Linked DNA regions of Arabidopsis thaliana. The protein of the gene in region 4 purifies or fractionates together with the protein of the main gene of each other region. This does not show direct contact. Each region holds a gene or a part of one and is shown on either strand. Other genes may lie near its edges. The genes, in order: AT3G11500, AT2G18740, SNRNP-G and AT4G02840.

Region 1 (7,830 bases), on a different chromosome or scaffold from region 4:
TTGTAAAATCAAATTTGAAAGAAATAAAAAAAAGGATGGTGAAGTTCATTGAACAGCTTGCATCTAAAGTGAATCTTTTAGTTACTTGCAAATGGTCCATGAGAATAATATACGAAGATGGTTAACATTTTTATGTAATATTTGTTTACCGTTAGAATTTAGAAAGAAGCAATCTCTCGTACTCTTTCTATTCTCTTCCCCAAAAACCAAAGAGAAAAGAATAAAAGAGAAAGTGAAGTTGGTGAAAGTTCTTTTTGGATTAGTTGTAAATCCATGTGTTTAAAATTCGTTTACTTGTTATATTAGTTGGAGATCCCCGACCACGAAATGTTAAAAAACACATCAAATTGTATAATGACTTGGACAGAAAATAATTTAGAATTTATAGACAAAACACAAATACCTACTTTTCTACCAAAAAAGGCATTTCAACTCATAGTTTTGTGGTTGATAATACTTGATATGAATGTAAGTTGGAACAAAGCCCACCCCACGTGTGTGCCGACGACGACCCACGTGCCGAACATTCCGTTGTGGTTACATGTTGTTGTTGTTGCTGTTTCATTGGAGATTGATAGATATTGTACCGATTTCATTCATTTTGCCTCACACACAATACTTCGTGGGGCACATGCTTCCTTGATTCCTTCCACTTTCACTTCTCTTATTTCTCCTTTTCTTTCTTTTAGCTTCTTCTTATTCATATAACAACATCTTTAATAGTAACAGAGGAGCCAAACGGCATGATTATGATCTCACTTTGATAAAAAGAGGGCTAAAAAAGGGTTTAAAATACTAATAAAGCAAAAGAAAAACAACCGTTGGAGCTCATTTACCCAAAATTCAGATCCCCACAACAAAAGTATTTTGCTTTCTCTAAGGTTTGGACCATTCAAAATTAGCTTTTTCATTACTACATTGATTTCTCTAACTTGAAATGATTATATAACTTATACCTGACTAACACATATGATAAGAGATTATAACACAAGGACAGTAAGTATCCAAATTTCCTTGTATCCATCAAATCAAGGGTTCAGAAAAATCTATAGGGAACAAACAGGACCGAACAAGGGTAAAATGACATAAGTAGAGGAGCCAAAGAAGAGGAATTCATCAAATAAAATCAAGATTGATTCATGCCGGTACAGAGAGCAAAGTAAGTCAAAGTCTCATATTACAGAAGATGATTACTTGGGGGTGAAAAGTCATAAGCTAAGATCTTCCAACTGGTTCGAGAGCTTCAACAGTAACAATGCTGTTTCCTCTTATCACCTGCATCCAGGAAAAAAGTAGAATGTTTAAACAAAACAAATGACAAGAAGATTCTGTGGGTGAGTTAGAGAGATGGAGAGAAACGTACCACCATCCCAATGTCAGTTTTGTCATCACCATTGACTTCAACAGTGTTATCCACAACAAGATTCATGAACTGATCAAAGCCACGGAGAGTTCCAACAACCATTCTGTTGGCATTAAGCTTAACTACATTGGGGGTAACAACAAAAAAAAGCAGACAAGAACTTCACTTGACCATACCAAGTTACAAAAACATGATAACAAACAAAGTCTAGTAAAATTCTAAATGAACGAGATACAAAACCTAAGAATCCATACAACTCTTAACTTTATGTGACATTGATATATTCTTAACCAAGATTAGCATTGAATCTATATATTGGAATTGTAAACACAAGTTTAATTAGTACACAAAAACACGCAATCCCAAGTAATACATGAACTGAAATGGCATTAATATAGCTCTTAAGTTGAGAAATCGGGTTGCAAGCAATTCTCATCTGAGTAAGAGATTTAGGTTCGACTTAAAGACGCTTTAAAATTGAAAAAGTGGAAGAAGAGATCGAGCTTACTTTGGAGTTTCTTGTCCATGTACCTGCATTACATGAAACAAACGAAGAACAAAATCAGAAACACGAAGAAGTAGGAGCTCTATGAAACCAAAAACTTCAACTAAATGGATACAGAGAAATTAGAAATCAAAAGGAAAAAAGTGGCGAAGAGAACTTACTTCTTGAGATCTGGAGGCTGACCTGATCGACTCATACTTGCAGAATCGGAGAAGACGAAAAACGAGAGCTTAGGGTTTTTCTCAGCTACGAACACTTTACTCGATTGATTCCAGTCTCCAGAGCGAAAGAGAAAGAAAAAAAATGACGTCGGTCTGCAAAACTAGAGTGGTCGAAGCACCGTCGTTTCAAGCCCATTGTTAATGGGTTTGACCGCAAAAAAAGCCTTTCACATGTTTCAAAACATAAAAGTAGGGGTGTTCCGAGAATCGAACTCGGGACCTCTCGCACCCGAAGCGAGAATCATACCACTAGACCAAACACCCGGTGTTACTAATTAGAGATATTTAGTCATTTATATTACTAAATTATTTATAACAATTTATCTTGAATTGTGATTACCCATCCAAAATTATCTGAATTACATGTAGTCAAAAGCCATAAAACTAAAAGAAAGATACCCACTGCATCAATTAATTACCAAACCTTTCTCCTTACTAGGAAATATTGCCTGTGATATGGCTCCTCATAGAGACTAAAGAACATAAAAGAGCATTCTTTAAACATCCATGTTGTTTATGTCTTCGATAACAACCAAGAGCATCAAGAAATGAGGATATGATGAGTTTTAAGTCATTGCAAGAGGCTATAAGTGGGGTCTGATGCTTATAATGCACTAACAGCTCAGGGCTAATAAGAAATATATGATCATAATCTGCTAATCTGTTTTCTTTTTCTTGCAAGAGATGCCATTCAACACAATCTAAGCGATAACATTCTAATCAAGAATTCCAAAAGCCGGACTTGGGATATTTGATGTCTTTATCATACAATCTCTCGTATAGTTGTTAATTGCATTCACCACATGCCACAAATCAACTCTTTTCATTCTTAAAATTGACTTTTTTGGTTGAATAATTGGGCCTCAAAAACAGATTATGACAAGTTAACAACGATCTGGCTTGGTTTGATTTCGGAACCAGCACGACATACTAAAACTTGCATCGGACTTTCTAATCTGATTCTGATGAGCAACCATAGCATTAAATATCTCGATAAAGTATCCATTCGCCAAAGTTAAAAAGAGAGAAAATGTAAAATATCAATAAGCCAACTAACAGTAACACGACGCGATCAGTAACTTAACATTTTTTTTCTCAATACCAAAAACTCCAAATACAAAAAAACACAGCTTATAATGTTCTCAAAGCAACTGGAAAGATAAATTGGAGAGAGACAAAACTAACTTCGAAGTGTACCCAAGAAAATACCCACAGTCTCAAGAGCACATTGCAACGATGATGAGCCTCATCGTGCAATCAGAGTCTTCTTCCTCTTCGTCCACCCTTTCGGCGTGTACTGTCTGTGGGAATCGGAGTCACATCCTCTGCAAAATGCATTCAAGAAAGATTCAGCTTCCAATGAGCAATCATAACAAAACAAAACAAAACAACTTGAGTGAGACTAAGTTTGTGTGTTTACCAATACGACCAATCTTCATGCCAGAACGAGCAAGGGCTCTAAGAGCAGACTGAGCACCAGGACCTGGAGTCTTGGTTTTGTTTCCTCCAGTAGCACGGAGCTTCACGTGCATGGCAGTGATGCCAAGCTCCTGTCACATAAACCATTATAGATTATCATCCAGAACCTCAAAGTCAATTAAAAAAAGGCATGGACATCGAATCATTTCAGACCTTGCATCTTTGAGCAACATCTTGAGCTGCAAGCATAGCAGCATAAGGAGAGGACTCATCACGGTCAGCCTTCACCTTCATGCCACCTGCAAAAGGTCACATAATCATTATATTTCTCGAAATATAAATGAATTTTACACTAACATAAACACAGGTAATAAAATTCACTACTAGGAAACATACCGGTGATGCGGACGAGAGTTTCTCTACCGGAGAGATCAGTCACATGCTGCAAAATATTGAAAGCAATGTCATAAACGCATTACACAGAAGGTTATATTACACAAACGCTAAGAATAAATGAGAAAAAACTTACAATGAAAGTGTCATTGAAAGATGCAAAGATGTGAACAACACCAAAAACTTGCTCTCCTTCACGAACAGAAGGTCCAAGAGTCACAGTCTCAACCTTTGGCTCCTTAGTTTTTCTCTTCGACTATTATATACAGAGAGAACAAAACACATTTGAGAAACAAATTGTTCACTGGTATTTAACCATAATTACATACCATCAGCTCAATATCAATACATGGAGATTAATCAGACAACCCCTAAACTATGAATCAGACAAGCCAAGATCAATAAGTCAATTTTGCATAGCTGAAACAAACGTATAAGTATGGAACATCGGAAACTAGCAGGACTAAGTGAAATCGCAGATCTCAATTTCCTAACAGACTAACGAAAACCAAATGATCTGGCACAGAAAAATGTTGGAGAGAAAGAGCTTACCATCTTCAACAATGGATCAGAGAAGAGACGAAACGATAAGTGTTTTTAGATTCTGCTCAGTGTAAACAAGAAGGACACTCACGGCGCTACAAATGCACGTTATATATTAGGGTTACATCGGAGTACCTCTATGAATTGACGTAAATACCCTCATCACTTTCATTACCCATTACGTCGTCGTTTGGTGTTTTTTTTTCTTAAACATTACGTCGTCGTTCGATTATTACTATTAGTCTTGTTAATTTTCTTGATTTTTTTTTGACAAGTAACAAAATTCACCAGATTTCTTATTGGAAATTATTATTTGACAAATGTGAACAACTTCACCTTGATCGTACCATCGTACTTGGTCTTATGAAGAACAAAGAAGTTTTCAAGTTATAACAGATAACTATGTAATTTGAATTTGACTCCATAGTTAAAGAATATGATGGGAAAAAGGACCAAAACGATTCTGATTATAGAAGAGAAGAAGAATTTCATTATAATACTTTTGAATTCATACGGAAACATCATTTCTCAACAAGAACCAATACCTTTACATATAAAACGATAAAAGATAGAGAATCTAAAATGCAGAGTTTGCAAGAGAGCCATCTTTCAAGCCTTGTTCATGGAGCAGATGACATAAGAGACTTGGCTGGTGAAATCAGAGCAACAGCACCTCTTCCAAGTTTCGAATACTTCTTCAACACACCACGTAGCTTGCTCTCCCCCGCTTTCGAGTGAATGAAAGCTAAAAGCTTTGAGCAATCCCTGATTACACACAGAAACGCACATAGAGAATTAATATACAAACAATATGATCACAAACTTGCTAGTGTAAAGAATTAAGAAGACTAACATGAGCTGAGATTCGGAGTAGCCTGTGTGGAATTTCAGTGTATCAGTCCAAGTAGGAGTCTTGTTCAAGCAACACCTTGCTGTGTAGACCGCTGATGCAGCAAGCATGGAAGGACAGAACATTAAACTGTCGTGATGCATCAAACCCAACTCAGCTAGAAAGTGAACCAAGTTCTCCAGTTTCTGGTCAGAACCCGAGGCTTTAATAAACCTCACAAGGAACACATACTGTGTTGGAACTGTCAAGTACCATTCAAGATTCCCCAAAATGGTTTTCTCCATCACTAGAATCTGTCTGCTGTTGTAGGAGTTATCAGTCACATATACCAAATCATTGACCTGAGGAGGCCAGATTTCTTCGTACTTCGAAGCTATAAGCAAAGCACTAACACCTACAAGCTGTAGTTCTCTTCTAGGCACAGTCTTCAGAGAAAGAAAACGATCAATTATGTTGACAGTGAGGTAAAGAGTCTCAGGGGAGAGATCAAACTTGACATGAACTTCTACAAGCCAATCAATAAGGATTGATCTCATCTTCTCATCAATCTCAGGTTGTGTATGCATATACATCTGAGGTTTGCTCTCATTCTGCAACAAAGAACAAAACAACAAACTTAAAGAAGACATTCACATAACTTATCCATAAGCATAAACAAAAGAAGGTTTCACTGTAAGTGTACCACAACTTCTTTGTAGAAAATGTACATATCCTCAACGTATTCCACAGCAGCAAGATCATTTTCTTTGTCGACATAATCAATATCCAAAGTCTTAGAAGCAGCCTAAGTGTGTACACCAATCACAAAACCAAATAATCAGAACTTTGCACATTATGCTTTCAATGTTGAACAAAGAATCTACCTTGCTTCGAGCATCAAGAACCGAAGAGTATGTCACTTTCTTCTTGTTCTCTTTAGCTTTAGCAACCTCGTTTGTATCAGGACTTATCACAATCACTTCGATTGGTTTTGACGGCTCACGCTTATCACCTCTTGCTTTCTTTTGAACCGCTCTTACAACTTCTTGTTTCTTAGTAACTCCATCAAGAATCGGAGCCTTTTTGTTAGCGGCGGCTGCAACTTGTGCGTTTTCTAGCAACTGAGCACGAAAGTTACGAGTAATGGGGCGGTTAAGCTTTCCTCCTTCGACTCCAATAAGAGAATCGACGTTTCCAATGTCGCCAAGAGCACGACGATTCTTTGCTGCTGCGTTTTTGAGGTCGATGGGATCACCTGATAAATTTTAACAAAAAGCAACCTATCAAGATTTGGATCCTTGGAAAACAGATTTGTAAGCAATCTTTGATAACATCTAAATAAAAGGATTCATAGATGAGAGTTTTTATGCAGATCCTAGAGTTAAAACAAAGATTCATCAGAGGGGAGAAACAAACCTCTAACTGGTTGAGGATGAACAACTGGTCCTGTCGCCATGATTTCTGGTGTTTTCAAACTCTCTGATTACTCCAAGATAAGGGGTTTCTAGATGAGAAGAAGGATGATTGAGATTTGAGAGAGAGCGCTTAAGGGATAGAGAAGAGAGGAGGAGCCATTAAAAGCATAATCGCAACGGTCAAATTATTAGCGGGATTAGACTTCTAGCCGTTGGATGATGAACTTTAAATCTAACGGTGGATAAGGAGGTTTTGTCTTATAGGATTGTGAAGATTCACGCCTTTCACACACTTAATGACAAGGTCCGAGTTTTAATTACTGGTTTATTTCTTCCCATTAGTGACAAGTTTGGAGTTTGATTTCTTCCTATAATTGGTTTTCTTTTCTTTTTTAAGGGAGTCAAAGCAACGTTTAAATATTGTTATCACCTTATTAGCACACCACAGTTCATGTAAACGATTAAAGATTGGTCGTTCGTTTTTTGTTTGAATTTATATTTTATATGAACCACCTTACAAGAAAGGTAGCATTCTCACTTTATTAATATACCATTGTTGTAAGATAGTGCTTTTTATCCAATGAACATGGGTCTCTTAATTAAATCACAAGGCCACAAAATTACTTAATGCAATTTAGTAAACTTCGAAATAAATAACTCTATGCTTAATCTTGAGGTTACATAGCAATTTGCAAGTCACATCATTACAAAAGGGATAAACATCATATATCAACGCAAACTCCAAACAGATAAACAATCAAACTGTTTTTCAATGGCGTAACTACAATATGAATAAGTAAAATAATTATGTAACACTCTATAAAAGTTAACTCATCATTATCAAACATTTCGCAGACAATAAAACAATATCGAGTTAAAACCACATAAAGGAGATATATTGGATTGAACATAGAGAAATGGGAGATGTCAGATAAATTGCCAAATAGAGTTTTTGAGGTCATGATGAAACCATTCGCACATCTAATTGAATCATCATCCATTTACCATTCCTCCAAATTACAGAAAAAAGAGTTGACGGCGAAGTCAGATTATAAAATGCCAAATAAAGTTTTTGAGCTCATGATGAAACCATTCGCACATCTAATTGAATCATCATCCCTCGCCGTTTTTCACTTCAAAGA
Region 2 (8,209 bases), on a different chromosome or scaffold from region 4:
ATTGACCATATTTTTCTCCAATCTCTATAGATCCACTTGAATGTTTTTAGCAATCAGAATTGTGAATGGAATTGGTTGGATAGGTTGCAGGAGGTGATGGTACTGTTGGTTGGGTTCTTGGATGTCTTGGAGAGCTTAATAAAGATGGAAAGTCGCAAATTCCTCCTGTTGGAGTTATTCCTCTCGGTACAGGGAATGATCTTTCAAGGAGTTTTGGTTGGGTGAGTTGTGTTTTCTTTGTTCTCTCTTATGTTGTCGTGACAAAACTTTTGAATTGGTACTGACTATGGTATCTCTTCTTCAGGGTGGTTCGTTTCCTTTTGCGTGGAGATCTGCTGTTAAAAGAACACTCCATCGCGCAAGTATGGGTCCAGTTGCTAGACTTGACAGGTAAAAGTCTTATTTTGCTCAAAACATTTAGCTTTTATTGTATTTCTCTTGTTGTAAAAATGTATGCGCTTTGGTTATGTGGTGTTGCAGCTGGAAGATTTTAGTGTCAATGCCATCTGGAGAAGTCGTAGATCCTCCTTATTCTTTAAAACCCGCTGAAGAAAACGAACTTGATCAGGTTTTGCTCTATTTCATTAGGCTTGCTTCTTCTCATTGAATCATCAGCATGTGATTTTGTAAATTGCCACGGTTTAGTAATTAACCAGGCTTTATGGTGGTTTCAGGGTTTGGACGCGGGAATTGATGCGCCTCCACTTGCAAAGGCTTATGAAGGTGTTTTCTACAATTACTTAAGCATAGGTTTGTTGAACTTCTCTTTTTGATATCCTAAACAATTTTCACAATTGTTTTTCTGACCAGATTCTTGTGTTTGTCTGGTTTGTTTAGGTATGGATGCTCAAGTTGCATATGGCTTCCACCATCTTCGCAACACTAAACCATATCTTGCTCAAGGCCCTATTTCAAATAAGGTTTGTTTATTATATTTGCACCTAAACTTTGGACTCATTATTTGTCTTTGTTAAAAGCTAAAGTAGTTATGTTGGTTTTGAGAAACGACATTACCAACCACACAATGTTTGCTTTTGCAGATTATATATTCAAGTTTTGGTTGCAGTCAGGGTTGGTTTTGCACGCCTTGTGTCAACGATCCAGGTTTAAGGTTCGCCATTTCGACTCTTATTGTGTAGTTGAACTTGTGTGTAAGTCTCTGCTTAAGCCCTTTGTTGTGTTGTTGACCCCTTGTTTGTGCTATATGAATTTGCAGGGGACTTAGGAACATAATGAAAATTCACATCAAAAAGGTTAACTGCTCTCAGTGGGAAGAGATCGCAGTCCCGAAAAAGTAAAAAACAGTTTTCGATATATGATTTATGTATTACAATCTTTGATATCAATGCTTAAAACCTGATGCTATGGATTTCTCTTGTAGTGTGAGATCAATTGTCGCATTGAATCTTCACAGCTATGGAAGTGGAAGCCATCCTTGGGGCAATCTAAAACCGGACTATCTAGAGAAGGTATTGTTTCTGTTCCATTTCATCATATATGAACTCAGTTCTCTGATGTTAACCCGAATGTTTTCTTTGGTTTTTCTCAGAGAGGCTTTGTGGAAGCACATTGTGATGATGGTTTGATAGAGATTTTCGGTTTTAAGCAAGGATGGCACGCGTCATTTGTCATGGCTGAGCTCATCTCTGCCAAGCACATAGCTCAGGTAACTTCAAAAGACACTGGTCAATGTATAATCTTTTTAGCCATGTGTTTGACTGTTTCATTTTGGTGATCATTTCAGGCTGCTGCGGTAAGATTTGAGCTAAGAGGAGGTGACTGGAGAGACGCATTCTTGCAAATGGATGGTGAGCCATGGAAGCAACCAATGAGCACTGAGTACTCAACATTTGTGGAGATCAAGAAGGTTCCTTATCAATCTCTGATGATAAATAATGAATGATTGAGATTCAAAGCTGGATTCTTTGTACAAAGCTAATTGTTTTGTATTTGGATTTGATTCAGTTAGTCATAGATATAGCCTAAGCTTTTTAGTCTTCTTTTCTTTTAAATCTGAGATTGTGACCATTTTTCTCTTTTTAATTTCTGCTTATTGTTGGTTTTGTACATTTTTGTGTTGTGAGGAATGAAGTTTGTTTATTTATAAGAATGTGGGAAGATAATATTTGGTCAAATTTCAATCTCTCTTCAATCTTTGTAATTCTAGCATTGAGCACATAGATGTGATTCTTTGTCATATTTTTATTTATTTTAACACTAGTTCGACTGAGAACCAATTTATCATCGACACCAATTTCTAAGTAAGAATATTTTTAATAATTATCATTATTAGTCGTATATTTTTACCAGAATAATAAAAAATTAAAAACCTAAGTTAATAAACCACACAAAAAAGTTTTTCTCTCTTCGCTCTCTCGTAGTTTGTAAAGATAGAAACTGAAATTTCTTTTGTTTTTGTTAACCGGATAGTTTTCCGGTGAGTCGCCGTCCCGTTTAATTCGGGCTTTCGTCCGACATCTTCTAGCTACGTTAGTGGAGATGGTTGGCTTTTTGTATGGCATCGTTGGCTAACTTAGCGACGTTGGCCAGCTTCCGTACGGCAGCGTTGGGCTTACACTAACAGCGTTGGTCATCTTTGTTTTTGTTTTGTTACTTCAAAGGTTTGATGATGAAGCTTTATGGCATGCAGAATCGTCAGATCTGAAGAGGGTTTCTCTTTACAAGATCTATTCTCCTTCTGTTTTGTTTAGCTTCACTATTGGGTTATGCTTTTGGCTCTGGTAGTTTTTCGGCGATGTGTGCGTTTCCAGCAATTACCCTCGTTTGGATCTACCATATTTAAGACAGTTTCAATTTTATTTTCGCCTAAGATTGGGTTAAAGCTTCTATCCTATGCAAATTTGATATGCCTTTAGTGCTTTTGCAAGAGAGTTCGAAGATTCAATGGTTGGACAAGTTTGAACTACTCAATTTTTTTAATTTCTTTACCCGTTTTGATGAATTATTTGTGATTCTAGCAACCATATGAGATTAGGAAATTGATGTTTGTTCTATAACATCTAATTGCCATAATCGGTGATAGAAAAAAAGAGTTTCATTGCTCGGTGCTTTCCCGGCGATGGTTCTCCGATTCACCAGACTTGAGTCTCATCCGGTGGAGGTTGTGGAAGATTCACGTGTCCTTAGCTTATTATTATTGGTCTGACACGTCTTAAGCTTATCTCTTTTTTGTGACGTAAAAGTCTGTTGTGGACCTCATATGTAGACTGTCTTGAGCCTTTTATGTTGTAACACTGAGCCTCAGTATATTAAAAATAAATCTTTCTCTGAAAAAAAAAAAAAAAAAGTTAAAAACCTACGCTAAAAAATTCTAGGTCTTGGAAAAGAGTATTTGGGCCAAATGATCACATTAATTAGTTATGGGCTGAAATAACATTCTGAAGTTTTATGAGGACCGAGAGAACTAAGTTTAAGAAAAATGTTGAAAAAAGCGTATTAGCAGAGGGACAAACGCTTTTTAGGGTTTTAGATTTCCTCTGAGAGAGAATTTTCGAAAGCTTGAGAGAGATTTCCAACTACGTTAGCCATGGCGAGCACCAAAGTTCAAAGGATTATGACCCAACCTATCGTACGTTTCTTCTTCGATTCCTTTGTTCCATCTCTTTATTGTTTCTATCGAAACCTAATTTTGTATCTTGCTTTTTGTTTTCCGGTGGCGGCGGCTCCAGAACTTGATTTTTAGGTTTCTTCAAAGTGTAAGTTGTTCAATTTCTTCTGATTTGCTCTCTGAGGTTTTAGGTTATTAGTAGTTCGTCTACTGATTTGTTCCCTGGTCTTTTGTGTTTGTGATGCAGAAAGCTAGGATCCAGATTTGGCTATTTGAGCAGAAAGATTTGAGGATTGAAGGAAGAATCACTGTAAGTTGATGTTGAAGCTCCGTTATCATGAATTGATTAGATTCCTGGCTTTGTTTATAGGACATTCGAGGGTTATGCTAACTTTAGGAGAGTTTGAAATGCATTAGCAGTGTGACTATCTCTCTAATTTAGTCTGTGTTTGAACTGTTGCATTTGTTGTGAATTGAAAAGGGATAGTTGTCACTGTTACTACTACTGCACAAAGAACTGATAAGAGCCTGCCAATAGAAACTAGTTTGATTAGCTAGCTGTTCTTAGGTTGAGTATGATTGTGTCATTCTCTTCGGCTTAAAACTTATTGTCTCCTACAGCCTACTTGGCTTTGGGTGTTACTTGTTTCAGTTTGTTGCTATGCTTGTAGTTGTATGTCCTCTATGATTTTCGAGTTATGATTCAAGCATTCAAGCTTTTCTTAGTTTGATTCTATGATAATTTGGAGAAACTTGAGATTTTGTGATGGTGTCATTCTCATTGGCTTAAAGGTTTGAGTTGTCTACTTGACTTTTGTTGTTCCATGTTGCAGTCTACTTGACTTTTGTTGTTCCTCGAGTTAAGATCCTAGCTTTTCTGAGGTTGATTATATGTATGGAGGAACATGATATTTGTGATAGTGTCACTCTACTCGGTTTTAAACTTAGATTTTTGTCTACTTGAATTTGGGTGTATTATTGATTCTTCTAGGAGAATCCATCAAACCTTGCTTATCCGTCGTCCTTTGCAGGGTTTTGACGAATACATGAATCTAGTTTTGGATGAGGCTGAAGAAGTGAGCATCAAGAAGAACACCAGGAAACCACTTGGTGAGTTATCCTGAACTCACTCTTTGATAACAAGTCTCAGATCTGTCTGCTTATGGTTTGATAACTCGTGTTAATACCTATTTTCAGGAAGGATTTTACTCAAAGGAGACAACATAACTCTGATGATGAACACGTAAGTAACACAATCTCTACTCTGTCTTCTCTCTTTATGATGTATAGCAGCTTGATTTGTCACATAACAAAAGATTGAAACAAAATCCTTTCTATGTTAACAGGGGAAAGTGATGTCTGTCTCAAACAACTCTCTTCGATGACCTTCAAGCTTATGTTAAATATCTGTTGAGTTCTTCCTCAGCTTAATTGGTACTTGACGATACCTTCTTTTCTTCAATGTCGTATAATATATTGCAATGTAGTGAGTGACAAAGGAGCTTGATCGAATCTAGTGGATTGGTTGGTTAAAACTTCAAAAAAGAGATTTGGTCCCTTTTGGTTAAATCTAGTGTTATGTAATTTGGCTGATCTTTGTTGCAACTTTTTAACCTCTGTTTAAATTTCAAACCTTAAAAAAGTAAAACCAATTGATTTTGATTATAAAAAAAATTGTATCATTTTTGTTTGTTTGGTGAACTGACCGAGTTGGCCATTCTCAGGGCTCAAGTAGATTGAAAGTTTAATTATACTAATAGACCAATCAGAATATAATCTGTTAAAGTTAACATAAAAATACAGAAATCTATGTGAACATTAACTTTTCATTGCAATTAGATGTTTTTATATCCATGTTGATTGTTGAATCTTATCCCTAATCTTGCTATTGGTGAAATGAATGTATTTTTACTATTAAAGTCTTTTTTTAATAACAAATAATTGGACTTTATACAACAAAGTATTATTATTTAATTATCAACTTTAGAATATAGCATGTGCCAAAAATACATACACTAGCCGCCGGCCCAAGAATGTCGTCCAATAAACGAAAAGCAAAAGTGACGGCAATCCAAGCCTACTGTGATCTTGTCCGCACCCGATAACTATCTTTAATTACTAAAACTAGTCAAAGTACTCGACTAATCACAAAACTAGACAAGTGTTTCAAGTAAATTAATTTTTGATCTTTTCATTTTATCTCTCTCTCTTTTTCTTCTATCCAAAACACCATTTTTGAGGTATTTTTCTCTCTCCTTCGAATCGAATTTTCAGGTTTCTCTTTCCGTTTGTTTGAAGAAGCTTTTAAGTAGAATTCATAAAATCTTGCTTAGCTTCTGGGTTTGATTTGTTTGTGGTAAAGTTTTGATTTTTTTTTTAGTTTGAGAGCTGGATTTGTGATTCTTTCTCTGGGTTGGTGAAGTTTTTTACTTGCTTCGATCTTATAGATCAGAGCTTCTAGCAGCGTAAAAAATGCAGACGAGGTATATGGAGAGGACTAATAGTATGAGAGAGAAGAGAAAATTGGAGGAAGATGATAATCAGCAGCAGCAGCAACAGCCTGAGCGTAAAAGGCCAGCTCTTGCAAGGTAATTTGTGTTGATGCTTGTAATTTTTCTGATTATTGATTATGGCGTTGTTGAATCTGTAATTGATTTGTAGTTGTATGAATGAAAAAAGGGTTGTTATGTATATTGATTGTCTGTGGATTTGAGAAAGTTGTGTATGTGTTATTGCAGTGTAATTGTGGAAGCCTTGAAGATGGATAGTTTACAGAGGCTTTGTTCTTCTTTGGAACCGATTCTTCGCCGAGTGGTTAGCTTAATAAGAATTGTTTACATGTCTTTTGGTGCTTTGTGTTGTTTCTTTGGCTTACTGATTTGTTTTGTGAGCATTGTCAAACAGGTAAGTGAAGAGGTGGAGCGGGCATTGGCAAAGCTTGGCCCTGCAAGACTTAGTGAAAGGTAACATATGACTGTTTTAAAAAGAGATAAAATTAATGGTTGGAGTATTTGTGGTTTTCTTCTAATGCTTGAGTTCACAGGTCGTCTCCAAAACGAATTGAAGGTATCGGTGGAAGGAATTTGCAGCTACAATTCAGGTCTAGATTGTCTGTTCCTTTGTTTACTGGAGGGAAGATAGAAGGGGAGCAAGGTGCTGCAATCCATGTTGTACTGTTGGATATGACAACTGGACATGTTTTGACAGTAGGACCTGAAGCTTCTGCAAAGCTTGATGTTGTTGTGCTTGATGGTGATTTTAACACTGAAGATGATGATGGTTGGAGTGGAGAAGAGTTTGAGGGTCATTTGGTGAAAGAACGTCAAGGGAAGAGGCCTCTCTTGACTGGTGATGTGCAGGTCACGTTGAAAGAAGGTGTGGGAACATTAGGGGAACTTATCTTTACGGACAACTCAAGTTGGATTAGATGCAGAAAATTCAGGCTGGGTTTAAGGGTCTCTTCGGGTTACTGTGAGGGAATGCGTGTACGCGAGGCAAAAACAGAAGCTTTTACCGTGAAGGACCATCGTGGAGAGTGTAAGTTCTTGCTTTCCTTTGATATTAGTCATTGATGTATCTGAATCTTTGTTTTTCTTTTGCCTAATGTTTTTTTTTCCTACAGTGTACAAGAAACATTACCCACCTGCTTTGGATGATGAGGTCTGGAGGTTGGAAAAGATTGGAAAGGACGGGGCTTTCCATAAGAAACTCAATAAAGCAGGAATCTACAATGTTAAAGAATTCCTGCGTCTTATGGTCAAAGACTCTCAGAAACTAAGGACTGTGAGTGCACGATTTAACTATCCAGTATCTTACCAAGATGTTCAAATATTATTATTCATCATGATGACTCTTACTCTGATTTTCAGATTCTTGGAAGTGGCATGTCAAACAGGATGTGGGAGACACTTGCAGAGCATTCCAAGACATGTGTATTGAGTGAAATGCTTTACGTCTACTATCCCGAGGACTCAGTTGGTGTTGTTTTCAACAATATATACGAGTTTAGTGGTCTTATATCAGGAAAGCAGTATTATCCTGCTGATTCTCTTTCTGACAATCAAAAGGTATGTTTGTTGGGTCTTCTTGCTTCTTATAGATACAGATTTGATTCTTCTATCATATACTCGGAAAATAGTAAAAGGTTATATATATGATGCAGGGTTACGTCGATGGACTGGTGAGGAAAGCCTATGAAAACTGGGAACAGGTTATTGAGTATGACAGCAAGTCACTTATGAACTTCAATCAAGTTAGCAAAACAGATGATATTGATTACTCTATGCCAGTTTCAGTTCCAAGCCAACCATCTACATCTTATTCAGACGTAACTGTTGAAGGTAGAGGTTCAGTCCACAAATGTCGAATCTTTTTAAGTTTTGGTGTGAACCGAATTTAACAGTCATTCATTGGGTTTTTCAGCATACAACCAGAGTCCGGCTTCAAGTTTCCCGGGTCAATCTCAGCTAGCTGATACTACATACATGCACTTTGGAAACTCTTCATTTGCACCGCAAGACCAGCTAGTTAACAACACTCATGAATCACAAAGCATGATCAATAGCAACGGTGGTGTGAGATTGGCACTGGGTCCAGCAACAGGATCTCAAAACCAAGAACAACTTGTTCATCCTCCTCCTG
Region 3 (7,557 bases), on a different chromosome or scaffold from region 4:
CGAGGATTCACATGTCACAACCGCGGTTAGAGGAACTGTTGGTCACATTGCACCTGAGTATCTCTCCACCGGTCAGTCATCTGAGAAAACCGATGTCTTTGGGTTCGGTATACTTTTGCTAGAGCTCATCACAGGAATGAGAGCTCTCGAGTTTGGCAAGTCTGTTAGCCAGAAAGGAGCTATGCTAGAATGGGTAAGCAATCACTATAAGTTTAGATCAAACGTATAATCAAAAGATAGTCTTAAAACTCAATTGAGTTTTGCAGGTGAGGAAGCTACACAAGGAAATGAAAGTAGAGGAGCTAGTAGACCGAGAACTGGGGACAACCTACGATAGAATAGAAGTTGGAGAGATGCTACAAGTGGCACTGCTCTGCACTCAGTTTCTTCCAGCTCACAGACCCAAAATGTCTGAAGTAGTTCAGATGCTTGAAGGAGATGGATTAGCTGAGAGATGGGCTGCTTCACATGACCATTCACATTTCTACCATGCCAACATGTCTTACAGGACTATTACCTCTACTGATGGCAACAACCAAACCAAACATCTGTTTGGCTCCTCAGGATTTGAAGATGAAGATGATAATCAAGCGTTAGATTCATTCGCCATGGAACTATCTGGTCCAAGGTAGTAAATCTTGGACACAGAAAGAAACAGATATAATATCCCCATGACTTCAATTTTTGTTTTTGAGATGATATAGACATGTAAATGGTTATCAAACCTTTGAAAAAATTGAGATTCTGGGTCTAATGGTTAATATTTTGGATGTATATATTAAGGTTTTTTTAAATGTGTTGGTTTTGGTCTGTTATCCAAATTTGTAAAATTTGAGGTCCTGTGAAAGCAATTTTTGGTCAAACTCTGAGATTCATGTCTTATTATCAAAAAATTTACCGACCAACAACTTAATGATATGTTGACCTGTACTTCTAATTGTTTTTGTTCAATTTATTTTTCTAAAAAACATAACACAAAACAACAAAAGATGTAAAGTACATGATAGCTTTTATATACATAACCCCAACAAACTTTTGCTATTTATAGTCTCATGATCTTTGGTTGTTTTTGGATATTATTTGTTGTCATCAATTCGTTGTGTTTTGATCTTTTATATTCTTCTTCATATCACAGTCTTGATGCTATTACCCTAACTTAATCTTTATTTGAGGTTACAAAATGGTCTCTGTAATCCCCCAAGTCCATGTTTCTGTACCGTTTCAACAACAATGGAATGTTCTTTCCAAACTTCACTCTTACTCTTCATCACTGTATCATACTTTGTAGTAACAGAATCCATTAAACCTAACCGAATGGCGATGAAGCTGATACACCGTGAATCAGTGGCCCGTCTCAACCCAAATGCTCGAGTTCCGATCACTCCAGAAGACCATATCAAACACCTGACAGATATTTCATCAGCCCGGTTTAAGTATCTACAGAATTCGATTGACAAAGAGCTAGGCAGCAGCAATTTCCAAGTTGATGTGGAACAAGCAATCAAAACATCATTGTTTCTTGTGAATTTCTCCGTAGGACAGCCACCGGTGCCGCAGTTAACTATCATGGATACTGGAAGCTCACTTTTATGGATCCAATGTCAACCCTGCAAACACTGCTCATCAGATCATATGATCCATCCTGTCTTCAATCCAGCATTGTCTTCAACATTTGTAGAGTGTTCCTGCGATGATCGTTTTTGCAGGTATGCACCAAACGGACATTGCGGCTCATCAAACAAGTGTGTTTACGAACAAGTGTATATAAGCGGCACTGGGTCAAAAGGCGTTCTAGCTAAAGAACGGTTAACCTTCACAACACCTAACGGTAACACTGTTGTGACCCAACCTATTGCTTTTGGGTGTGGCTACGAGAATGGAGAGCAGTTGGAAAGTCATTTCACTGGTATTTTGGGGTTAGGAGCCAAACCCACATCACTTGCCGTACAGCTTGGGTCTAAATTCTCTTACTGCATTGGTGATTTAGCTAACAAAAACTACGGTTACAATCAGCTGGTTCTGGGAGAGGACGCGGATATTCTCGGCGATCCAACACCCATTGAATTTGAGACAGAGAATAGTATCTACTATATGAATCTAGAAGGGATTAGTGTTGGGGATACACAACTCAATATCGAACCAGTGGTATTCAAAAGAAGAGGACCAAGAACAGGGGTCATACTAGACTCGGGCACACTCTACACTTGGCTAGCAGATATAGCCTACAGAGAACTCTACAATGAAATAAAATCCATTCTGGATCCAAAATTAGAGAGATTCTGGTTTAGAGACTTCTTGTGCTACCATGGGAGAGTGAGCGAAGAGCTCATAGGCTTCCCTGTGGTGACATTTCATTTTGCAGGCGGAGCTGAGCTGGCTATGGAGGCCACAAGCATGTTTTATCCATTATCAGAACCGAATACGTTTAACGTCTTTTGTATGTCAGTGAAGCCAACCAAAGAACATGGAGGGGAATATAAGGAATTCACAGCTATAGGGCTAATGGCTCAACAATACTATAATATTGGTTACGACCTCAAAGAAAAAAACATCTATCTCCAGAGAATCGACTGTGTTCAACTCGATGACTATTCCCCATCAAAGTAAATATTGTACACGCAGACATGTCCATGTAAAAGAGACTCAGAAAGCTTAGAGAGTTTACCTTTTGAACACATTTGTATATTTTGAAGAACATACTCATCCCCAAATTCATGTTGTATTCTATAACAACACATTCATCTTGTTCTCGTCTTGACGACTTGCCCTCTCGAAGCTTTCCTCTCCATCTTCTCTCTCTTTTTACGAGACTTTTCATCTTCCACACCTCCCTACAGTTCAACGCCACAGAGACAGAGTAAAGCTTTTTGCATTGTGTAAAGAAGCTAATACTACTTAAAACTAAATGAGATTTACCTCTGAACCTTGTGACATGAATCCTCGAATAAGACCAGAAGCTTTATACACTCCAAACGCAGGAATCTAAAAACCAAACAAAAGTTACATCATTTCAATCCAATTCTATGTATCAATTTGTGTTTATTAACTAAGCAAACACGCATACCACAAGATACGTGTACCAAAACTTCCCAGTGATGATGGAAGCTAGCTGAACAAAGCAAGTGATATAGATGACATCGTGCAAATATCTGCAAAGGTCATCATATGATTCAAAATGCATAACTCAAACATCATAGTATGCAAATCCATAACACAGAAGCTAGCTTTTGGTTCTTGTTGATTCATTTAACACAAACGTACCCGCAGATTCCACCAGTGGTCATGTCAAATCCACCATCAATAAGCTCACCATCATCAGTAACACTAGGTTTAGCCATTTGATCAAGCTGCTTATAAGGAAACGCGTAAGCCAGCGAAGTTATCACTAAACCGATCCAATGTTTCCAAGTAAAGCTTGAGTAGAAAATCAACATCCTCACAACGAAATACACAGCCTGTGACCATAAATTACAAAATCCAATTCTCAATTCATGAAGAATCGCGAAAAATCGTAGAAATCTGGGAAACGTATAGATGGGAGAGGAGAAAATACATTGGAAGCGATGATGATACGACGGAGCTTAGCCATGTGTTTGGCGTTCTCTTCCTTTCGTTTCTTCGCTCCTTGATTCGCCATTCTTAATCTCGGATTTTAGCTCTCAATAGTCGTCGTCTGTTTGTTTTTCCGGCGAAGCAGAGGTTATTGAAAAAGACAACGACGCTCACTGTTTCGCTTCCGATGAATCTAGTAGTATATGGGCCTAAGCCTGTAAATAGGCCCAATTGAGCTTTCGGATCTGCGTTCTTGACAATCCACGGAAAGTTGTTTTGAGGGATCCTTAACAAGAAGCTGCAAATAATGAATATCCCGAATTCTCAATGCAAAAACACTTTAACCATATATACCTCATGATCACAAATTATTAAGTTTGATGTCTCCGTGAATCACACATTTTCCATGACAATAGGCCAGTGCCTGACTAAGACTTGCAATGTACTGAAATCAAGGAAAAGCCATCAGCTTCACCACAAGAAGCATGATAATCTTTCAGGGAGAGGGAGGGAGAGGGAGCGAGAGAGAGACACTCACAGTGGCGGCTTGTTGGTTTCGTAGAATTCGCTTGTCCGCTTTACTTTTGGCGCTTTGGGAAAGATCGTAAAATTTAGGTTATGTGCTTGACAGTGACACAATCACATTTTCAAGTTTTGATACACATTCTGTTTCAAGTTCAGTAAACTTTGTGTCAACATGGTTGAAATCGATGTCGTCCTAATCGCTCATGATAAATGGGAGCCTCTCGGCAATGAACTCAACATGTAAGACTTGTTTATGTTCTTTGCATTTTACATTGTCTGCATTTTTTGTCTTCTTTAAAGTCTCATTCATTACAAAAAGAGAAAAAGAGCAACTAAGCATTAACAGAAGGGATGAAGATATAAGATCAAAGCAGTGGATCCAGAGTAAAAGCACAAGAATATTGATGTGGACTTCTTGATCAATTTATAATAACTGCAAATCTACCATCAAGTTTCCTCAGAACTAATGCTTAGTACCAAAACAAAGATGACTATGGATGCATAAACCAAGCTAAGAAGATGACTAATAGAGGTTTGAGCATTGTATCAAGAGTGAAAAGTACAAGCCATCACATTCATCGGTGGGGGTTCATTGCAATCTTTTTAGTACAAGAAAAGAGTATTCATGTAGACTTCTTACAGAATCAATTCATCGTAACTGCGAATCTACCACCAAGATTTCTCATAGCTAGTGCTTAGTACAAAAAGATCATAACCAATGAATATAACGAGCTAAGAAGATCTGCCCACTGGTTCAAGAGCTTCAACAGTGACAATGCTGTTTCCTCTAATCACCTGCTCCCAAAACCAAAGTAAAACATCAGTCAAGAGCAGCAGAAGATTAACGACAAAGGGACACAGAATCGAGAGACTTACCACCATCCCGATGTCGGTTTTGTCGTTACCGTTCACCTCAACAGTGTTATCCACAACAAGATTCATGAACTGATCAAACCCACGAAGAGTTCCAGTAACCATTCGGTTAGCATTAAGCTTGACTGCATTTCAAATACAATTCATCAATCTCAACACATCAAGAAAAAATCCACTCTTTGCTAAAATCAAAACACAATCACCAAAAAAAAACTACTTTGAGTTCGATTCTAGACACTATAACTAAAATCAGTAATACCAAATCCAGTTCGATTCACAGAATAAAGTTGCAATCACATCTCAGCTAATGTGTTATACAAAACTGAAGTTCCCTAACTATCGATAAAAGAAGATGAAGATATTGAACTTACTTTGGAGCTTCTTATCCATGTACCTGCATCGAACGAAACAAAAACAAACAACAGATTAAGCACAAAAATTAAATCAGAAACACGAAGATATAGAAACAGAAAGAGAGAAATAAGAACAAGGGCTTACTTCTTAAGATCCGGAGGCTGACCTGAACGACTCATAGTTGCAAAATCGGAATTGAGCTTAGGGTTTTCGCTCTCGGCTTGAAGAAGACAGAGTTTGCTCTGAAACCCTAAAGTTTTGATTTTTGGAAGTCTAGTGTTAGCGTCTTCTTGTTTTTTACTACTCCTTTAAGCCCAATAATCTACTCAGGCCCAATAAACTATAAGGCCCAACTCATATGACTATTGACATGTTTCGTCGAAGTGTATTTTTTTTTTTTTTTTTAAGTGATTTTCCTTTTTCGTCGAAGTGTATTCTCTAGACGCTATTAATCTGATGTAATATCTTACAATCGTCTAACCAATTAATTAAATATTTTTGTTGTGGTCTAACCAATTGATCAAATATTTAGCGTCTAACCAATTGATCAAATATTTTTGATTTCACCAATCGATAAATTTTAAAAGTTACACTAAAATTTCACCACAACATCAAAAATGATAAGAAAAAAATTAAAATGACGAAGACATTTTTATGTCATTGTAGTTCTAATGCGGCCAATTGTTCGAATTGTTTCTATCGAATGATATTACATATACCATTTTGTTTTTCAGCATTACATATACAATTTTTCTGCCACCAATATGCATTATAATGAATTTAATTTAGGTAATAAGTGGTAAGTGGTGACACATCTATTATACTCACTAATTTTATATTTTATCTACATATACTATATTTAGACTAACAAAATTATAAATTTCACAAGGTTAAATTTTTTTCTTTATATATATATATTATTTAAACATAATGCATTATCATTTTTCTCTTATTATATTTTTAATTGAAAAATGATAAATATTTCTCTAAATTTTTCTACCTTTACATCTCATAAGCTTTATGCTTTTCTAGATTGTTGAGAGAGAGACAAAGAAATACTCTGGTGATGTAGCAATAGCAGTCTATGTTGATCGTTGTGTAATCGTGAGCTTACTTTGAGCGAACGATTTGCATTTCAGATTGTTTAGTATTTCTCTAATAATCAATTGATTTTTCTCGCGATTTACTTTATAAGTTTCAATTTGTGTTTCCTATTTACAAATTTAGCTCGGGATAACAACAATATATCAGTCCAAAATAAAAATTTCTCCACTGTAATACTTGAATGTACAGATATACCATGCCACAAGCTCTCAATTTCTAATACCGATTCATCGACAACAAAATAAATATAAATAAACGATTAATATAAAATTGGTTGATGTAAAACACTGAAACCTATTAATAATAAGTTGTGTATGAGAATGTATCGACTAGTTTTGAAAAGAAATGGAGTAAGAGCCGGTGTTGGGATCTTCACAGCCTTGAAGTTGTCTACACTCATCCCACATCGACCAAATATCGAGTTTCCCATCTCCTTTAGTTTTGCTCTTAAAACACCACCAAAACATATTATCTCATATGATCAAAAGTGTGGTTCAAGACTTTAAAATTTCAATATACTGTTAATAATACTTTTATTTTACGATAATTGGCTCCACTTTTTTTTTTAATAATCTTAAATTATTTTGTTTGAGTTTTGACCCCAAAATTTTATAGCCGGTCCTGCCAAAGACATTAAAATTTTAGTGTCCTTGAAACGTTGGTCCAGCAGAGGCAATTCAACATCATCCTCGCATATGGCAACAACCCATCTTGATCTATATCATGCAAATTTAAAGAACGTCCCATAGAAGAAACTTCATGATGGACATACCAAGAAGACAAAACCTTGATCTTTTTTGAGAAGACCGAACCTTAAATTTTATTTTTGTAGTTTCTTTTGGATCGTATTGCATTATTTATGTTGTATTAATAAATCGTGGATGCATTTGAGATTTTGATTTTGTTAATGACTGACTTTTAACTCTCAAACTTGCAAATCCTGCTTCATTTTCTGATGTCTAAAACGTGAATATTGATTTTGCTGTTAAAAAAAAATACAAAAAAAACTAAGCTATATACTTTAAATCCTGCTTCACAATCCTGATTTTGTATGTCTCTGAATTGTTTGTGTGATTTTATCATGTCTAACATCACAGCTTGCAGAAACTGAAGTGTGGATAAATCAGAAACCCATTACAAACAAAATGT
Region 4 (8,209 bases):
GAACGATAAGGATTCATCTAGACAAGGAGAAGCAGAGGGTTCTCCTGAGAGGCAAAGCCGTTACTGTGATGGAAGGCCATGTCTTGGTCTGATCTGAAATTATATACTGTGTTGAATTCTGCTACAAAACAAGCTCCTATAATGAATAACAATGAATTTACTCTTTTCAAAACAAAATAGTGTCAGCTGACTGATCCACCTTACATGAGGTGTGGTCGCTCGTAGGAGCCACTGATAGGATATGTCCATGTTTTCTGACCATGTGTGTTCATTTTGAATGACTCTCCAACAGTTCTCTTTCACTCACAGACAATACATTTATTGTTGATGGATTTCCAAAGTTCCCTACCAAATCTTCCCAGATTTTACTATCAATAAATGTTTGTTTTTGGTCTGGAGACTCTATCATTATTAAATAGAACGTGGAGCACATTGTTTCCAGATAAGTAGATTTCAATAGGAAGAAGAGGAGCTATGGCCATGCTCGTGAAGAAACCTGTGAAGTACTTCATGGTAATTGTATATTCTTCTTCGTCTTCTTTGGTTTTTGTTTCTCGCAATGTACTAGTATAACTTCCTTCCTTTCTACTTTGCTCTGAGTACTTCTTTTAGAAATGTTATTATCCTTGTAAGCTTCCCAAAGTGTTACCTGTCCTTTTTTGGAGATTTTAAGAATACCTACCAAATCTTCCCATGTACTATCAATCAGTTATTATTGTTTGAGTGTTCCTTTTTGACTAACCAATTTTTGTTTGATTTTTAACGACTAGTAAGCTATGCAACACAATTCATCACATGCTTAGCATAAGAATAATGGAATAAACATACCATATTTGTTTTGTCAATAAGTGCGTTTTTGCTTTATGAGTGCTTGCTTCCACTTGATTAGATCTGTCCTTTGCTGAATATAAAATTTTGCAAAGCTGCAGATTTCATAATGATTTGAGTACAATTCAACTGTTAGCATATAAACAAAACAAAAAAGATTAAAAGCCGAGATTTGTTTCAATAAGATTTTGCCCTACAAAGATTGTCTGTTTCTCTTAAAAGATGAAGTGGCATTGTAAATTAAAAGCCTCCAAAATGGTATAAAAGTTTAGCTTTGGTCTAACGAAAACATCAATGGCAAAAATAGAACCAAAAACGTCAATGGATATGAATTTTCCTGTCAAGTACTTCGTGGTAATTGTATATTCTTTTCTTTGTTTTTGCTCTGATAATGTGATCTTCTTCTTCTTTATGAACGAGTATTGCTAAACACAGGTTGATGCATTCACTGAGTCAGCCTTCAAGGGGAACCAAGCTGCAGTGTGTTTTCTTGAAGAGGATCATGAGAGAGACGACGTGTGGCTTCAGTCTATGGCCTCTGAGTTTGACCTTCCATTGACGTGTTTTCTTATTCCCATCCCCGGCTCCGAACCACCACGTTTCCTTCTGAGGTGGTTCACGGCTGTAGCCGAGGTCCATCTTGCAAACATTTTTGTATTTTATTACTCCCTCCGTTCCATTTTGTACAATGTTCGATTTATTTGATTTTGTAGATGGATATATGTGGTCATGCAACACTAGCATCAGCTCATAGTATCTTCTCAAACAGTTTGGTTGGTTCATCTGACACTGTCGAATTTTCCACCAACTCGGGGATTCTAACCGCTAAAAGGCTGTCTGATTGTGACTCTAAAAGATCTTTCTTGATCGAAATGAATTTCCCTGTGATTACAACTTGTGAGTACAGCTCCAAGGATGTCTCCATCTTCTCTAAAGCCTTGAATGGAGCTACCATTGTCGATGTTCGAGAAACTAAAACTGATAGACTCATCTTTAAACCCTTGATAGGAGCTTTCAAAACAACTTCAACAGACCAAATCATCGTATGTATTTCAGATTTCCTTAGAAAGAAAACTTGTGAACTTTCTATTTTTTGCTTATTTATATGATTTGATTACAGGTTGTGCTTTCATCTTGGGAATCTGTCATTGAATTTCAGCCAAGAGTGGATGATATCGTGAAATGCCCTGGCAAAGTGATGATTGTTACCGCTGCTGCTCCTCAAGGATCTCCTTTTGACTTCTGCAGTCGACTCTTTGCTCCTAAACTAGGGCTCAATGAGGTTAAGAAACTAACCTGCAACTTCGTGCATGGGAGCAATTCTCTGCTTTTTACTTGTGGTAGCCGTTACCAAAAGTGTTTACCGTTACCTTATTTGCTTGGTGCTTTTGTTCCTTCAGGACTCTGTATGTGGAAGTGCACATTGTTCATTAGCACATTACTGGAGCCTCAAGATGAACAAGTGTGATTTCGTCGCTTTTGCGGTAATTCATCTTTCTCTGTAACTAGCTAACTAACATTTCGAAGCAAGAAATAATCACACATATTAACGAATCAACGAATTTCTTTTCAGGCTTCGCAAAGAAGTGGAACACTCAAGGTTCATTATGATAAGGAGAAGCAGAGAGTCTTGCTTACCGGGAAAGCTGTGACTGTCATGAAAGGCTCTATCTTAGTTTAATCTTTCGACTCTTTGCCAAAGTCTTGAAAAATAAGGTCAAGATTTTGATTTCTCGAACTCCCCACGTTTTATCAGACTATGTAATAAAGTGATCAAGTCAATAATAAAACATATTGAGTGATGTATGTTTGGCAATAACGTTTCAAATCTCAAATTCATGAAAACTTAAAGAGATAACAAGAATTTGTCTTAGTGACACCAAATCTCACTACAAGATAGATCTTTTACAATCCTGCTGTTACAAACCAAAAAGGACCAGACTTTTGATTACTGCAAAATGCTTAACGACCACCACGGCCACGTCCACGACCTCTTCCACGACCACGTCCCCGACCTGCTGGAATCTTACCTGATACCAAAGAGAACAATAGAAAGATGAGTCTAAGCAAAAACAAAAACAAAAACAAAGGCATAGTTCAGAAAAAAGAAATGTTTTGTTACCTGCAGTTGGCTTTTTGGGTTTGATTCTTGGAGTGTCTTCAACCAGCAAAGTCTCCAGATTCAAACTGTCCGGAAGAATATAATAGCGAATGTTGTTTCCCCTGACACTTAAGTGGTCTAATGTAACTGGATTCTTCCCTTTCAGAGTGAGTTTCACAGCTTTTAAATGAGTGTTCATGCTAACATCTACACCTGCATTAAGTCATCACAAGTAGATAGTACCAGTCAGTGAGTTGATTGATAATTGCATTCTAAACAAGATGATGGCAGAAAAAGGAAACCAAACCAAACATTAACAGCAGAGACCACTTGTATTAGATCAATCAGACTAAAAGAGAAGTTGAAACAAGAAGCCACACGGTAACTGTTCTGTGAAAAATCAGAGATTTTCTTTACAAGGAAAGAGATAAGAGTGACTTTCATGTGCTAAATCTAATCATCTGCATCTGACTCGACAAGTATCACTCAGTTCTTGCTAACAAGAGGGTTACCAACAAAGCATTTCGAGGTAAAAAAATAATTAAGACTCAGCTAAACTCTAACTTCTTCAGATACTATCACTAATAACAGAATTAAGCCTCAGGATTTGTTAACAAGAGAGGTCCACAATGATAAAGAGGGAAACTAAAGTAAACTATCTCATATATAATCATGTGCTAAACTCACTCCCAGAAGAACTAAGCATTCTCATACACCCAACTATAAAGCAAAATAAAATGTATCATCTCCATCTGACTAGACCACCATTATCATTCACTTATTGCAAACAAGAGAGATTCAACACCCACAATGCATTTCTAGGTCTATTAACAGAATTACACATCAGAATTAGTAAATTCGAGAGCTCCATTGGTTACAACCATCAAAGGAGAAAGTAAACTACCTCATGGGTGATCAAAGTTTGAAGAAGAACTAAACTATCTCATAAACCTCGATTCAAGTAAAATCTAGTGTACTCATCTGCATCTGACTTGACCAGTGTCACTAGGGTTAATACCAACAAAGCATTATTAGGGGAAAGACACTAGCTAAACTCAAACTACACCATCAGAATTTGTGAATACGCGAGTAACCATCGATTACAGGTAAGCATCGTAGATTTTACACAAAACCCTAAACAGCGAATAGAGCTGGGTTTTTAAGAGAAGCGTACCAGTAATGGTTCCATGAACAATGGTTCCGTTCTTAAGCTCGATTGAAACTGTTTCGTTGTTCAATTTCATCAAAAACCTGCGAAAAAATCCAGATACGAAATCAAACATCGAAGAGCATGAAAACAAAGAGAAATCTCAAAATTTCGAAGCAAATTCCAATTAAACCGAAGAAATAAAGAGAATCCGAGTAGAAACCATACCTGACGAGCTTCATGGTGAGAGAATGAAGAAGAAGAGGAGAAAATTAGGGCTTTGAGGAGAGCTCGAAACAGCAATGGCAAGAAGCAAGAGCGGGAGGAGGAAAAGCAGCAATAGGGGAATTTATGTTTAAGTCCCCAATTATGGATTCTGCTTCACACCGACGGTCTCTTACTTCCTTGAATGTTTGGTTATACCCTATTTGTTTTGAACTTATCAATAACACCCTTCTCAACTTTTTATTGAACAAAAACAACCCCAAATGAAAGAAACAGAATAATTAACTCAAATAATCTGATTTGCGGAATCTAATCACTCACTTTAGAAATTTATCTTTTATCAATCACATTTTGTTTAGTTTTGAAAAAAAACTGTTTAAAACTTTTGTTTAGTCAAAATTAACAATACAATGATAAAAAATTTCATCATTAGCTAGCTAAATAGTAAAAAAACAAAAGGTTTTAGTATTCTTGATTCGGCCTTTTAGCCCAATAGTAACGTTGGTGTTCGAATCCAGTCATTCATCTTGGTATTGTTGATCCAATTTTTCCTAAATCCATTAATAATTGTGACAACTAAATTATGCAAATTTTTCAACTGAAAATAGGGGATATTACATTATGAATGGAATATACAGAGTCTCTTATTTGGATTTTTATTACTAATCCAATGGTGACGAAGCATACAACACAAGAATCTTTTCTTTTCTTATCAACACAAGAATCTTTTCTTTTCTTTTGTAACATCAACACAAGAATCTTTCATTTTATTTTATTTGATTCTACTTTTCCATACTAATGGTTGGGTCATCAATAAATCCATTCCTCGGGGAGAAGTTTCTCCGGCGAATCAATAGGATTTTCTGCTTCAATCTTGATAGGTGTTGTTGCCAACATTTCGCTCTTCTTCTTCGAATCATTTTCTCTAATTTCTACATTCAAAAGAAACAATGTTACCAATTTCAACCAAAATATATCTATAGTTCAAACTAATTTGTAATATATAACACAATGTATTTGAATAACGGTCGATGAGAACAAATAATGGTTGGAAAAGAACCTGGACGAGGAGAAATATGGATACCGTTGTTGTGAATGTTAAGATTGAGTGCTTGAACTACACGAGTCGGGAGAAGCACCGGTGAGCAAGCTATGACAAGAGAATTTTGTTTTCATCAATCAAAATTGTATAACATTAAATCATATATTAATGAGTCTATATAGTAAAGGCTGACTAACGTAAAAACCAACAAATCACAATTTCTTTATGTCAATTGTCCTACAAAAGCTACGAAATAGATAGAAAAAAATGGTAATAGATGTATGAATCCATGATATATTTCGTAGTAATCGAAGAATTGAGGTTTTTGTGTTTATATATGTTTAAAACAAAAAACGACAAAAAAAATCATCAAAAATTTTCAAATTCTTCTAAATTTTGTCTAGCTCTAAATCTTCAATCTCAAGAAGCAGTGGTTGTAAAAAAGTTATTTTTCTTTTGAATATAATTTGAACATTATTTTCAAAAAAAAAAAAACGACTTAACGACAAAATGTAAGTTAAAAATCATGTCAAATCAACTTTAACCTGAAACTAAAAGAATTTTAGTATATGCAGTTGGTAGAATTGATTTTATGAAATTGAAAACATTATGCACCTTTATTTGTGTTCATAAATACTTAGTATAGAGTAATTAATAAATAACCTGTTTTTTTGGTGGGTGGATGAGAAGCCGTGGCTGGAAGAAAAACTCCGGTGCCAGAAGTTGTACGGCCCGGTGTAACCAAGAAAAATGCTTGCATACGATCCTCTCCTTTACTCCTTTGCCAATTGCTTTGGTGCTTTTGTCTTGTATTATAGTTCTTCAACACACAAAAATATATATACAAAATATTTGAGCTTTAGTTTGAAAATATATAAGATATGTTTAAATACATACGTTAATGTCCATAATGATATTTCCTCCAATACCGTTAAGAGATTGTAACCAAAAAAAAGATTGAAAAGAAATACCAAAGGAAATGTTTGTCTAAGAGGAGGTGCCCCGGGCCGACGAAATTCACCGTTGCCGTGGTGATGGTGGTTCTTGACATATTTCTGCAACTATGTGAGAATTTAATTAACAACGACTTCGATATAGAATAGGAGAAAAAAATAACAAATTCAAATAGAAAAAATTTAGATATAAGATAATATAAACCTGATGTTTGTTGGAATGATCAAACAATGGATCTTGAAGAACATGATGAGAGGGTGGCCATATTTGCCTATCCTTGTGACCGATGATGTCACCCATTTGAAACTGACCAAAAAGAAACTTAAAATTTCAAAAGTATTAAACACTTTGAATTAATCTTAGAAGAAGAAGAAGAAGAACATTGAGAGAGACTCAATGGAAATGTTTCTTTGTTGACAAAAGAAAGAAGAGAAGAGGTTTTGATTGTCCCCAACTTCTGACCTGAATCTTAACTATAAATATTAATGGGTTTGGAAAGTAGAAGGAGAGATGATGACGACAAATTTGGTTTTATAGAAAACTAATTATTATGTTGACAACAAAGAAGAGTTTCAATGATTTTATTATTTGAATTTGGTTTCATCATTACTACGAGGATGAAACGAGAGTTACACACCCTTTCATTTCAAATTTTCGAAACAAAACAAAAATAATCATATCATTTTCTACTTTGGAAAGTGTTTTTTTTTTACCATTATTCACATAAACCGCGTGGTAACCGTGAGGTAACGCCAATATTAATGAAAACTACTAGACTATAAAGTTTTACTATTAGAAGCTTTTGTTTGTTGCAATTATTCATATAAACCGTGTAGTAACCGTGAGGTAACGTCAACATTAATAGAAACTATTAGACTATACATTTTTTTACTATGGAAAGGTTTTTATTGTTATCTACGACTCACATATTTTCTACAACCACGTAAAATTCACATGCTAATTTGACATTATTTGACTGATTTTTTTCATTTTTAAACTGAAAAATCATGCATCAAAGTCCATGGTAATATATGGATATTTACTTCCAGAAGAACTAGAAGTATTTTATATTGTTTTGTTATATTATATAGAGTTTCTAAGAAAGATTAAGGAGGTCATGTCGGGGAGTGGGTTGAGTTGTATTAAGTAAACGCCTCTCTCATATTTTTAATGACATTTTTTAAAATGTTTAATGCTTTAATTTAAATTGTTCCTTAAACTTAAAAGAACTATAACTTTGACCTAAACTACAAACTAATATTTTTATCATTTTGTTGTGATTTTTTGGCTATACATCAATTCTATCGAGAACACATAAAACTAGTATCAAAACAAACCACATTTTATCAATTTGTTGTTATTTATAAGCGAATTTTGTTTCGCATTACTTGTTATTGATTGTCTCATCCTAGTATTTCTTTTATATATAGCCAATCACTTTAATTCGTATTTCTTCAATGAGAAACCAAAACTTTTCGAGGATTGAGTCTAATTTTGTGTAAACTTGTATTTTAAAAGCTCTAGCTAACTATGATATAAAAATGGGCAGAAGAAAAAGTAACATTTATTAATTATAGTCGTCTACTATCCCATAATCCATATCTCTCTCTATATTTTTAATTTTATTGAAAAATAAGGAAAATCAAACGACCAACGACGCCACTTCTTCTTAACAACCTTCACCAACCAACCCAAGTTCGTCGAACTTCTTTTAAGATGATTTTATTAGTTGATGATCTTTACCTCAAGTGGGCTCTCTATATCAAGATTAGTCGTGAGACTACATGACTACTCGAGGAGATAAATTTAGTAATTAATAATTAGTATGGGCGGCTAGCTCTAGCCTGCCAATTATAGTTTTACAATTAACCATCTACTTCAATTAAAATAAACCGAGGAATAAGATTCAAAC

Evidence for each region.
Region 1: the proteins of AT4G02840 (region 4) and AT3G11500 fractionate together in Arabidopsis thaliana (co-fractionation; one large-scale study listed by BioGRID). This does not show direct contact.
Region 2: the proteins of AT4G02840 (region 4) and AT2G18740 fractionate together in Arabidopsis thaliana (co-fractionation; one large-scale study listed by BioGRID). This does not show direct contact.
Region 3: the proteins of AT4G02840 (region 4) and SNRNP-G fractionate together in Arabidopsis thaliana (co-fractionation; one large-scale study listed by BioGRID). This does not show direct contact.

What each region holds. Positions count from the first base shown.
Region 1 is NC_003074.8:3,620,411-3,628,240, forward strand, and holds AT3G11500 (Small nuclear ribonucleoprotein family protein), read right to left. Parts: upstream 2,197-7,830; 5' UTR 2,065-2,196; coding exon 2,030-2,064; intron 1,895-2,029; coding exon 1,872-1,894; intron 1,486-1,871; coding exon 1,364-1,485; intron 1,276-1,363; coding exon 1,216-1,275; 3' UTR 1,195-1,215; exon of another isoform or gene 923-1,194; intron 715-922; 3' UTR 552-714; downstream 1-551. Other genes in the region: AT3G11510 (Ribosomal protein S11 family protein), read right to left, coding at 3,347-3,414, 3,510-3,639, 3,722-3,807, 3,905-3,950, 4,038-4,157, 4,454-4,456; CYCB1;3 (CYCLIN B1;3), read right to left, coding at 5,065-5,209, 5,298-5,884, 5,977-6,078, 6,158-6,528, 6,690-6,729.
Region 2 is NC_003071.7:8,119,787-8,127,995, forward strand, and holds AT2G18740 (Small nuclear ribonucleoprotein family protein), read left to right. Parts: upstream 1-3,434; 5' UTR 3,435-3,547; coding exon 3,548-3,589; intron 3,590-3,689; coding exon 3,690-3,716; intron 3,717-3,815; coding exon 3,816-3,878; intron 3,879-4,599; coding exon 4,600-4,678; intron 4,679-4,765; coding exon 4,766-4,811; intron 4,812-4,914; coding exon 4,915-4,924; 3' UTR 4,925-5,292; downstream 5,293-8,209. Other genes in the region: DGK3 (diacylglycerol kinase 3), read left to right, coding at 84-221, 305-390, 481-568, 675-750, 838-920, 1,041-1,111, 1,217-1,294, 1,382-1,469 and 2 more; AT2G18750 (Calmodulin-binding protein), read left to right, coding at 6,041-6,156, 6,307-6,382, 6,473-6,531, 6,612-7,105, 7,191-7,351, 7,438-7,635, 7,731-7,908, 7,991-8,209.
Region 3 is NC_003071.7:10,180,279-10,187,835, reverse strand, and holds SNRNP-G (Putative small nuclear ribonucleoprotein G), read right to left. Parts: upstream 5,586-7,557; 5' UTR 5,484-5,585; coding exon 5,449-5,483; intron 5,345-5,448; coding exon 5,322-5,344; exon of another isoform or gene 5,076-5,321; coding exon 4,954-5,075; intron 4,873-4,953; coding exon 4,810-4,872; 3' UTR 4,466-4,809; downstream 1-4,465. Other genes in the region: AT2G23950 (Leucine-rich repeat protein kinase family protein), read left to right, coding at 1-193, 267-632; AT2G23945 (Eukaryotic aspartyl protease family protein), read left to right, coding at 1,231-2,607; AT2G23940 (transmembrane protein (DUF788)), read right to left, coding at 2,739-2,831, 2,917-2,982, 3,065-3,149, 3,262-3,455, 3,554-3,637. UniProt on the Arabidopsis thaliana protein: Probable common Sm protein, is found in U1 and U2 snRNPs and may be part of the spliceosome.
Region 4 is NC_003075.7:1,260,835-1,269,043, reverse strand, and holds AT4G02840 (Small nuclear ribonucleoprotein family protein), read right to left. Parts: upstream 4,418-8,209; 5' UTR 4,319-4,417; coding exon 4,305-4,318; intron 4,181-4,304; coding exon 4,104-4,180; intron 3,911-4,103; coding exon 3,881-3,910; intron 3,143-3,880; coding exon 2,951-3,142; intron 2,859-2,950; coding exon 2,791-2,858; 3' UTR 2,585-2,790; downstream 1-2,584. Other genes in the region: AT4G02860 (Phenazine biosynthesis PhzC/PhzF protein), read left to right, coding at 1-92; AT4G02850 (phenazine biosynthesis PhzC/PhzF family protein), read left to right, coding at 475-513, 1,264-1,461, 1,542-1,871, 1,949-2,110, 2,229-2,312, 2,402-2,509; AT4G02830 (uncharacterized protein), read right to left, coding at 5,112-5,233, 5,362-5,451, 6,007-6,163, 6,315-6,404, 6,502-6,597. UniProt on the Arabidopsis thaliana protein: Involved in splicing regulation.